Linked DNA regions of Oryzias latipes. The protein of the gene in region 1 purifies or fractionates together with the protein of each later gene. This does not show direct contact. Links are inferred from orthologs where the notes say so. Each region holds a gene or a part of one and is shown on either strand. Other genes may lie near its edges.

Region 1 (5,461 bases):
GGGCTCCTGCTTGATGGCCATGGGGTGAAAGGCTGCCCCCTGGGGGGGCACGGGGTTGCCCTGCTCGTTGTATCGGGGGTCGATGAGCTCCTGCTTAAAACCCCGGGGGGGCACGGCCACCAGCGGCTCGGACATCTGCCTGTGAAAGGAAGGCCGGCCGTCACGCGGTACCGCGCTACTGCTGGGGGGCTGTGGCAGGAAGCGGGGCGGGGCCTGGCTCTGGGAGGGGGGGACGGGCAGACAGGGCTCCGACATCTGTCTCTGGAACCTGCAGGTGGAGGTGTGCCTGTCACACGAGGGTCATACAGACGGGGAAAATGAGGGAGGAGGCGCGCTCACCTGTGCTCAGGTGTGAAGCTGCTAGCATCCTGGCTGATGGGGGGACAGGGCACCGTGAAGGGGGGGCTGTGTGTCACCAGAGCCCCTGGTTCTGGATGCTGCTGAAGTGGACATGCTGCTGAGCTGGGCATACGGGGGTGAGAGCGGGGGGATGTCACCCCACTGGAGCCTTCACAGGGGGAGGCAGGCGTGAGGGGAGGGGTCAATGGCTTAAACTTCCGGTCGCAGGCACTGTAGCCAAAAAGGAGGCGTGGTTATGTGGAGCAGGCGCCGTGACGCCTGTGCACGCATGCGGCAAACCTACCTGTGGCTGTAGAGGCACTTGTCTTTGCAGGAGGTGGGCGTCCTGTCCTGAAGACAGTGGGACAGCTCTTTGGGGGGGGTCAGCTCCCGTTTAATCTTGGCTGGAGGAGGGCCGTGAAACATCACTGCACAGGAGACAATCAGGGGAGCAGAAACCATCACCTGACTGTCAACAGCCAGAAATTGAAATAAATGAATCAAATGAAAACCGGGAAAATCTGGACTGAGGTTCAGCAGGTTTAAGTTACTATAAGGTCAGACCGACCAATCACAGCGGACAACGCACATGTGGTGTCATTCCATTCCATTCTGGTCCATTCCAGTCCAACGTGTGGAAAGACTTTGATCAATCAGATCGCTCAAGGTGAAGAAAACTTTAATGGAGTGGTTTTTAAAATAGATGGTTTTGATCCTCTTCTGATCTGTTCTCAAATCCTTCCCAGTCGTCTTTTGATGAGTATTCTGCCGTTTTTAGCCTAAATTATAATCCCGTGTCGTTTTCTAGGACCTAGTTTCTGCAGAGCAGCAGGAGTTCATCTCTGAGTTATGGGCGGGACTGCTGGCGTGGAGTAAGCCGCCCTCATTTCCCATGATGCCTTTGTTTACACTTTTTCCCGCTAGCTTACACAACCACTCCAAGCTAGCGTTAGCACTGCAACAGAAAGGGTGAACAATCTCCAGCCGTACGGTTCTGATCCGGATTCCAGGAAAACCAAGACGTTGGTGGATGTTTGTCTGTGGGGGGCGTTCCAAAGAACCCCCCTGTTCCCGCAGACGACCTTTGCCCCCACACAAACCCAGTGCAGCAGCCCACTGACAGAACCAAACGCCATCACCCCCCCGGAGCATTTCTGTGCTCCACTGCAGCAGAGCAGAGCGGCGTGCAGGAGAGTGGAAAATCAGATTAGGGGCCTCGCTCATGTGACGCCCCCCCGCGCCCCCCCGGAACAGAGCAGGTACTCACAGCTGTCCGACTGGAAGTCTGGAACAAACTGCTCGTCATCCGGAACGTGGGCTGTGGAGCGGGGGGAGAACGTCAGTGTCTTCGTTTGGACCGCATACGGGTCAGAAGCAGAGCTGGTTCCGCCGGTCCAGAACTCACCCTCAGCGATCCAGATCTCCTGCAGCTGGCTGAGGTCCTGGAAGAGTTCTGCGGGACAGGAACCAGGACCCGTTAGCTCAGAGGAACCCAAACACACCTGAGCGGCGCCGCCTCGCATCCTTTACCTTCCGTGTCCAGAGTTAGCTCCGCCTCCACAAACTTCCTCTTCCTGTCGCTCACAGGCCGGTTTGGAGACGACTCCATGGCTGCCGCCTGCTGCTGGGAGAGACGAGAACATCAGTCTGAGCCGCCACGCCTCAACCTGCAGCGCCGCGCGTGACTTACGCTGGGAGGAACCACGAAGGGGACCTGCTGGTCATAGAAGGCGTCCATGTTCTCTGATGGGGGGTCCAAAATGAAGGGGAGGGGATGGCGAGTGCTTTAAAGCCGCCGCTGTCCACAGGGCACTAAACACACAACAGAGACACTGAGCTCCACCTCCATTCAATGAGCACGCCCACATCATCATCATCGTCATCATCATCACCACAACCAGCATCTGAGGCCTATTTCACACACAAACAGCCTGGAAGGCGGCGTGTCCGTCCATGGAGCCGCCGCCAACACTAACTCTCTTACATAAACGGACTCTTTCGGGGCTAATCCACTTGGAGACGTGGATTCAACCACGTCCTCAGACTCCTGACACGCCACGGCTCCACGGGATCCACAGGAGCCGGTCTGAGACTTCCAGGTGGTTGTTGGACGAAGTCTCACTTCAAAGTGAGCGCTGTGCTTCTCCCCACAGAGTCTCATGACTCACTGCTCTGTTCTCTGATAATGGATGATGCATAAAGATCGCTGCTGGCAGTAATCACATTACTGTTCCCTGTAGTCCGGGGGAGGAGCTTCTGCCATGCAGGAACGCACTAGGACGAGCTGCCTGGTGGTTCTGATCCAATGCCATCGAAGCATCACTGCTGGAAACGACTGCGACGCTTCAACTTCTCTTAAAGTTTATAGTCGTCATCACAGCGCGTAGGAGAACGGTCCGTGAACGCAACACAGACACATGAACTCAGGCGGCAACACTTCACGGCCAGAAAAAAAAAAAACGGCTGAAAACGGCTGGATAAAGCAGCAGCGGCGGCGGCGGGGGGGGGGGGGGGGGGGTAGTCCACCCGACACTGCCTCCTGTCCCTCCCCCACCCATGTGCCCTCCCTTGTTTTTCTCAATGAAGTGAAACTCGATCCGTGTGGAAAAACAGAGCAGGGGGGGGGGGGGGGGGGGAGTCCATTCATAAAATCACAAACAGACGGAGATGAGGCGCACCAGCGACTGCGCAGTTAACCCGGACCAGCACCAACGCACGTCATTCAGTCATTTCAGCGCGCGCGCGTCGAAAACCTGCAGCTTTCTGAAGTAAAACTGGTTCTGAAGTGACGCACTGAAAATTCTGTTGGAAAAAAAACCCAGACACCAAAAACAAGCTTTCCAAACAATTCCCGCGCTTCATCCTACCTTTAGCGCGCGCTGAACGTCTTCAGGTTAAACAGAAAACCGCTAAAAACGGAACCAGTACGCCGAACTTTGGAGAACCGACGCTCCCCGACTGAAACCAAAAGTTGACTGAGCGCTTCGCTGAAGCTCGCCTCGGTTTTGCCCTGGGCTCGAGCGCTCGCCGTGACGCTCGCTGATTGGTCGATTTCAACTGTCACTCAACACAGCAGCCAATAGCGGCTCGTAAACTCATGTCTTATTTCGACGGCGACATCCGACCAATCAGGGTTCGACAAAAGCCTATTTTTATGAATGGCAGGATTTCATTCACTGTTTTTCGAGCTCCGCTGCCACAGAGCGCGTTAAAGGGCCAGTCCGGCGTGGACATCACGCCTGCGTGATTTGCGTGGCGGACTGTCATGGCGTCACTCCGTCGGAACAAAGTGTAGCTTTCTGTGCGCTCTTTGGGCCATGAAGGTAGATTTAACCTCTCGGAGACAGACGCACGTGGCCTTTGAAGGACCGTGGAGTGGATGAAGAGGAGGAGCCTCGTGTCTTCATCTGGACTGTCCAGATGTTTTTACATACATGACCCAAAGTTTACATGAACTTTTCAGGAGCGTTCTGTCTCTGCAGAGACCGGAAACAAGGCAGTGGACGGACTGCTGAAGACCACGTGACCACATTTTCTTTGATCTCGGTGAAACTTTTAACAGAGAAGAGAGAAGAATTTTGATTAAATCAGATTTTGACTTTTTCATTTCTAAATGAACTGAAAGTAAAAATCCTATATATCTATCATTTCAATAGTAGATTAGTCATGTTGTATATTTATAAGTCACTTTATTAATAATCAAAGGAATAAAACAACTAAAAATTTTATATAGTTAAGTTCCAAAAAGTTTATTCTTCAAAAACCCTCAGACTGTTTCTTTTTTGTAATCTAAAAAGGCTGAAAGGTTTCTGGTTTGATCTCTTCATCTCAGCAGAAATGCAGCACCCCCCCCCCCCCCCCCTAAATTATCCTCAAAAATGCTTCTTAGCTTCTCATGATGGGGTGGGTGGGGGTGCATTCGCTCTGTCATGATCATGTTTTTAGAGACCGCCGGGTGCAGAGGTCACACGATGAAACTTACCAGCTGCTATGGAAACTATCATCCCTGCACAAAACCTGCAGAGATGACTAGACTACTGCAGAGTTCACAAGGACAGACAAACATGCGTGTGGATGTTTGCATGTGACTGACAGGTCTGAGCTTGTGGGGAGGGCAGGTGGATCAGAACCACCAGAGGAGCCTGCAGGTCTGGCTTTGCTGTTGTCCTCGCTGCAGCAGATGTGGTGGGTGGTCACTTGGAGGCGTTCAAACAGCGAGCTTATGGCGCTGCTGTTCTCCTTCCTTATCCCTTATGCTATCTTAGATGACCCCCCCACCCACTGACGTGTTCTCCCTACCATGACAAAGGTGGATAAAGGTGGAAAGATTTCATGTAATCCATGGACACCAGTGAAGATCACAAATCATTGAAGAGAAAAGGTTCAGAGCACTGTCTAGAGCACATGTGTCAACCTCAAGGCCCAGGGGCCAAATGTGGCCCTCCGTGTCAGGATCTGCTCTCCAGTGGTTTAAATCCTATCTGTCTGATAGGTATCAGTTCGTTAATGTAAATGGCCATTCCTCTCAGTGCACTCGAGTCAACTATGGAGTCCCACAGGGCTCAGTCTTGGGACCGATCCTGTTTATGCTTTATATGCTACCCCTAGGAAACATAATCAGGAAACACAGCATTAATTTTCATTGTTATGCCGACGATACGCAGTTGTATTTATCCATGAAACCGGACCAAAATGACAATATAGAGAAACTGAACGCCTGCATCAGTGACATCAAGACCTGGATGACAATTAATTACCTCCTCTTGAACCCAGAAAAAACTGAGGTCATTATACTAGGTCCTAAAAACCTCAGAGATGCTCTGTCTGCTCAGATAGTCTCCCTGGATGGTGTAAGTATAGCCCCCAATTCCACAGTTAGAAACCTTGGGGTTTTACTTGACCAGGATTTATCATTTAAGGCTCACATATCTCAGGCGTGTAGAACTGCCTTTTTTCACCTGTGGAATATAGCTAAGATCAGAAATCTACTTTCTAAGAGTGATGCTGAAAAACTCATCCATGCATTTGTTACGTCGAGGCTGGATTACTGTAACTCCTTGTTAGCAGCGTGTCCTAAGAGTTCCTTAAGAAGTCTCCAGCTTGTTCAGAACGCAGCAGCTAG
Region 2 (4,745 bases), on another chromosome or scaffold:
GCTCACCAGTTTCCTTTGGCGTATTTTTCAGTTGACAAAAATCTTTTCGATTGAAGATTTACGAAAAAACACGTTTTATCTTTGTACGCGGTTTCTAAAAATAATACACAACACAGTGTACTTTGTAAGATAGTTAAGTTCCATATTTTTGTTTATTTTTGAACGGCTGCGTATAGTGTTACTAGCACATAAATTCGTTTGGCTTTCCATTTATTTGTGTTGAACTTTTGTTTGTGTTGTAGGCATTGCGACAACTTCAACAGATGAACCTAAGCGGAAAAACACCGTTTTTCCTTTTTACATTAATTTTCAGGCTATTATAATTTAAAGAATGTAATTTTTCTGGTAAATTGTACTGAAAAGTCAAAAGAGAAATGCAATTTTGTATTTTTTTCTTGAGTCGAGAGCTGAAAATATTATTTTAGTATAGCTCTGCATAAAGTACAGTTTATCCATCTGTATGTTGGTTTTTCAAAATGAGACTAAAAATTAAATATAGAAAAACATTACTATACTAAGGGTAAAAACAAAAAATATACAGTATTTGGTAATACAGCTCTGGCATTCTAATAGGCTTTCAATATCTTTTTAAATATAGTACTTGACATCTAGAAATAAAATCGGCCTTCTTCTTGCTTGCTTTTAGGAGCATAATTATATGTATTTATCATTTTGGGTAATACTTAGTCCCTAGTTTTAACAACAGTAGATTTTTTTTCCTTTTATGAATTGATAATGCATTTTACTGAAATTATTTTCAGCATTGTGGTAAAGGTTTCAATTAAACATTTTATTATTCGTGTTCTTAACGGTGAGTCAGGTCTGTTGGAAATTCTGTATATTCCCGTTTTAATTATTTGTTCTGTGTACTGTTAATATTCTCATTCAGGTAAGTAGCTCTGTGGCCAGGAACAAATTTCCTCTCTGAGGACAAAGTTTACCTCACCTTAGTACAATTACGTATGTGCTAACCTCAACTTTTTATCTTAGATTTCCTCATTTGTACTAAAAAAAAAAAGCTGGTTTGTCATATTTTCCAAGCAACCTATTGCATTGTAATTAAAGAGAATATCAAAGACTTTCAAAAAGCACACATACCAAAATGTTTTAAATAATTTATTGTTAGGCAAATACAAAACACCTCTCTTATTCATCAATCATAAAATTGGCAGATCCTGGTGGCTTCTTCAATCCTTCCATTATTCTTTTTTTACATGTCCTTGTGGAACTCCACAAAAACTGGTAGCGGCGCCCAAAATGCAATGATACTCAGTTCATGCCTGCAGTTGTGCATTAAAAACAAAATAAAAAGAAACATCCCAGTGCTACTTTGAAAGAACTTCATCTGAGGCTTTGTGGTTATCAGTTTACAACAGTCCTAATCCATCAAAAAGTCCAGTTCCACTAACTGCAGGTTGAATCAAGCAACAATAGCTGTGGTTATAGAAACAAACACGTGGAGTATCATTTTGTTCTGAGAAAAAGATACGCTGAGATGCTACGTTGCTTTTGCCAGAAAAACTGCTGTACACTTGACAAAATGAAATTCAAGTCACCTTTATTAAAAAAAAAAAAAAAAACCCTGCTGTCTCCCAATCTGGAAAAACAAACAAAATATACAACAAAAAGAACAACACAAATAGGGAATAAACTGGACAGCTGACAGAGGGGGAATTTAAGTTTGCATGTTTTGTTTTGTGCTTTGGCCTTTAAAAGACAAAATGCAGGAGGTTGCATTTATCTGAATTGCCTTTGACAGAAATGGTTAAAGAGTTAAAAAGTCAAAAGTAAAAAAATAATAAGATTTGGTATAAAACCAGAGAGAGGTGTTGTATTGTGGCTGACAAACTGTGACGGATTAGGAACAAAACCGCTTTCCTCTGTTTTGTGCCCCAGCTTGGTTCTTTAACGGTAAAGCTCAAACGCCGGCACATCTCCGCCTGCTGTACTGGTGCCACGGGCCGACATTTGTCTGATGTCACACGCACACAAAGCTCAGTGAAATAACAGATGGATTCCGTTTCTTTTTGCTCCTCCGTTGATCAGCAGGCGATCTCCCCATTCACGGCTGACCCCTGCCCCCCTAAAGATAGAGGTCATGATAGCCCAAGCCTGGCAGGAATTCAGACAAGTTCAAGAACCTGTCAGGGAGGAATAGATACAGACATTTAGATGTTTTAAAGACATTTTTTTCTTTATTAAGCAATTTTTTGACAAACCACTCCCCCTCCCCCCCCCCCCCCCCCCAAATAATTGCAATTGTATTTTTTTTCCTGGTAAATTCTCATTAAATGGGAGGAATTATGCACTGATACTGGAATAATAAAAAAAAACTCAAACAGATGTTTTTAAGAGCTGTAAACATTTAACGGTACTATTAAAAAGAAAACATCTTTTTTGTATATTTTTTAAAACACCAACCTTGATAGTTCCTTGACTGTTCGCAGCAATGAGAACATTTGACTCCTAAAAGCAAATCATTTTGAATAAATCAGAGGTATTTTATGTAAATGAAAGCCTTGTTTAAAATATTGACAAAAGCCTTAAAGTATTGCTTACAATGGCAGAATTGAAAAAAGTATAGTTGACCAGTGAAGTGACACTTACTCCATCAGGCAGGGCTCTCCAGCAGACGGCACTCACAAACTCATTGGTGTCATCTTCTTTCTTGTCTTTGTCCAAAACACTCTTCACCGTGTCGAACTTGAATGTTAACAGTGTTTTGGAAAGTCCTTTGTAATACAGGTACAGGGAGTTGTTCTCACTTCCTAAAATGGACATAAAAACACTTTATATTAATGGCTAGTCTTTAAACATCAGCGTCAACGTTTCAAATGAACGTATACCACAGGCAACATAGTCTCCATTTGACGCCAGTCCAACAAAGTTCTTCTCGTTGATGTGACCCTTAAAGGAGCGCAGGCAGTGAGGTTTGTTGACGTTCCAAAGCTTCAGCTGGCTGTCCGTCGAACTATGAACACAGAACATGTACTCTTTATATGTGTGTGCACAAATCCTTCTTTATCCTATTTTTTTAGTTTTGGTTATTAAGTAGTTTCTTTACAGTTTTAAAAGCATTGTTTGAGAAGTCTAAATATGCAAGAAAGCTGCTAAAAATATGAAAGCGTATTTTAATCAATTTAGCTTCTGTGAAAGAAATAAACTTAGCGGCTCTCGTTTAAAGCTTTAAAATGTGTTTTTCTCACCTCTGTTCATGTGTTATATAGGATTATATAGGAACCAGACTAAATGTTAAATATTTGTTGATCTGTTTTGCCACTAGCACAGGATGATCTCTATTAATTGTATTATTAACATAAAAGTTTTAAAATTAATAAAATTAAAGTCCTTAATAGAAAACGTTAAGCAGTAAGACGTTGTCTGTCATTGCATTTTTAAAATATACTAAAATATTTAACATTTAAAAACAAATACACGATTACTTAAAACATTAAAGATGGAAGCAAAGGTAAACAGACTTACGCAGAAACGATTTCTTCCCCATTTACAAACTTAGCGTAGGACACGGCCTTCCTGTGGCCTTTGAAAACCATGATTGGCTGCTTAGTGTTGCGGAGATCGTAGTAGTGGACACAGTGGTCTGCGGACAAAAGAGATAAATTTCACAAAATGTTCAAATTGGGCCAGAAAATGATGAAGCACAACTGTTGTTGCTTTCTGTCAATAAAAACATGATGGTATTAAACCACAAACATTACATTTTTTCCTGATCTGCAACTCTGTGGTTAGTTTTGGTACTAAAAAAAGAAAATTATTTTAGTCTTTTATTTTCCAATCTCCTAGCTGCACTCCGAACGTAAACCAAGAATGAAAACTTACAGCAAAGTACCACACAGTTTCTGCTCAGAGTTAGAATACTTACACGAATACCCCTATAATAAAATATCTATGATCATTCATAGATATTCTTCTGTCAGGACATAATAAAGTTCTTTTGGATTGTTCAGGATTAATTGTCTTTCAAACAAACAAAAAGAAAAACAGTTGAGATGTGATGCTGAATAAAATAAAAGAAATACAATATTATATAGCAATGACAGAAAACATTTTTAATGCTCCTTAACTGAGGAAAAACCTTGAATATGTTAGCGTGACACTACATTGTCCCTTTACTTTCTAAAAAGAATAAAACACTGTTTGTATCCAGTTCTGTTAAAAGGAGTTAGGCTCTCTCTCTCTTTGTTTAAAATCAATTTGTATTTTGTATCTAAATAGCCGAAATTGCAAAATCTTAAGCGAGAGCAACAGTTCTCTTTTCTTTCTAAAAGCTTGTCTGTTTTGACTTTTTTTATATATAAATTCCACCTACATTATGCAACATTTTCAGGGGTTAAAAAAAAGTGCTTTTTGTTGTGAAAAATTAGAAGTAAAAAAAAAAAACAACTTAAGAAATTACCTCTAGAATTTCTTTACAGAGCAAAAATCAAACTATGAAAAAGATCTGGTAGAAGAATGCACTAAAATTGACTTAAAAAGTCTCCAAAGACATTTTTAAAGAATTATTATAATTCCTGAATGACGAGAGTTTAGTGCCCATAGAATTCTGAAATGTAATATTTTATGGTTACCAACCAAAGAAATTCAGAAATGCAGCCGATGACAATCATACCTCCCTACCCAACTTTGACTGAAGAACATATGAAAATTATATCATTTTATTTTTAACAAAATCTTTAATTTTATAGAGTACAAGCATTTCAGAAGAGAAACTAGACCCCCAAAAT

The links. The genes of interacting proteins can lie anywhere in the genome.
Region 2: the proteins of ETS translocation variant 5 (region 1) and cop1 purify together in Homo sapiens (affinity purification with mass spectrometry; 6 studies listed by BioGRID and IntAct, counting the BioPlex papers as one, with this or other methods). This does not show direct contact. The link is inferred for Oryzias latipes from reciprocal best matches to the Homo sapiens genes ETV5 and COP1.

What each region holds. Positions count from the first base shown.
Region 1 is NC_019879.2:595,759-601,219, reverse strand, and holds the start of ETS translocation variant 5, read right to left. Parts: upstream 3,372-5,461; 5' UTR 3,207-3,371; intron 2,789-3,206; exon of another isoform or gene 2,324-2,788; intron 2,152-2,323; 5' UTR 2,078-2,151; coding exon 2,030-2,077; intron 1,964-2,029; coding exon of another isoform or gene 1,961-1,963; coding exon 1,870-1,960; intron 1,793-1,869; coding exon 1,607-1,792; intron 768-1,606; coding exon 644-767; intron 571-643; coding exon 340-570; intron 269-339; coding exon 1-268. UniProt on the Homo sapiens protein: Binds to DNA sequences containing the consensus nucleotide core sequence 5'-GGAA.-3'.
Region 2 is NC_019875.2:19,747,512-19,752,256, forward strand, and holds the end of cop1 (E3 ubiquitin-protein ligase RFWD2), read right to left. Parts: intron 3,602-4,745; coding exon 3,484-3,601; intron 2,972-3,483; coding exon 2,847-2,971; intron 2,769-2,846; coding exon 2,608-2,768; intron 2,467-2,607; coding exon 2,422-2,466; intron 2,142-2,421; coding exon 2,124-2,141; 3' UTR 1,102-2,123; downstream 1-1,101. UniProt on the Homo sapiens protein: E3 ubiquitin-protein ligase that mediates ubiquitination and subsequent proteasomal degradation of target proteins.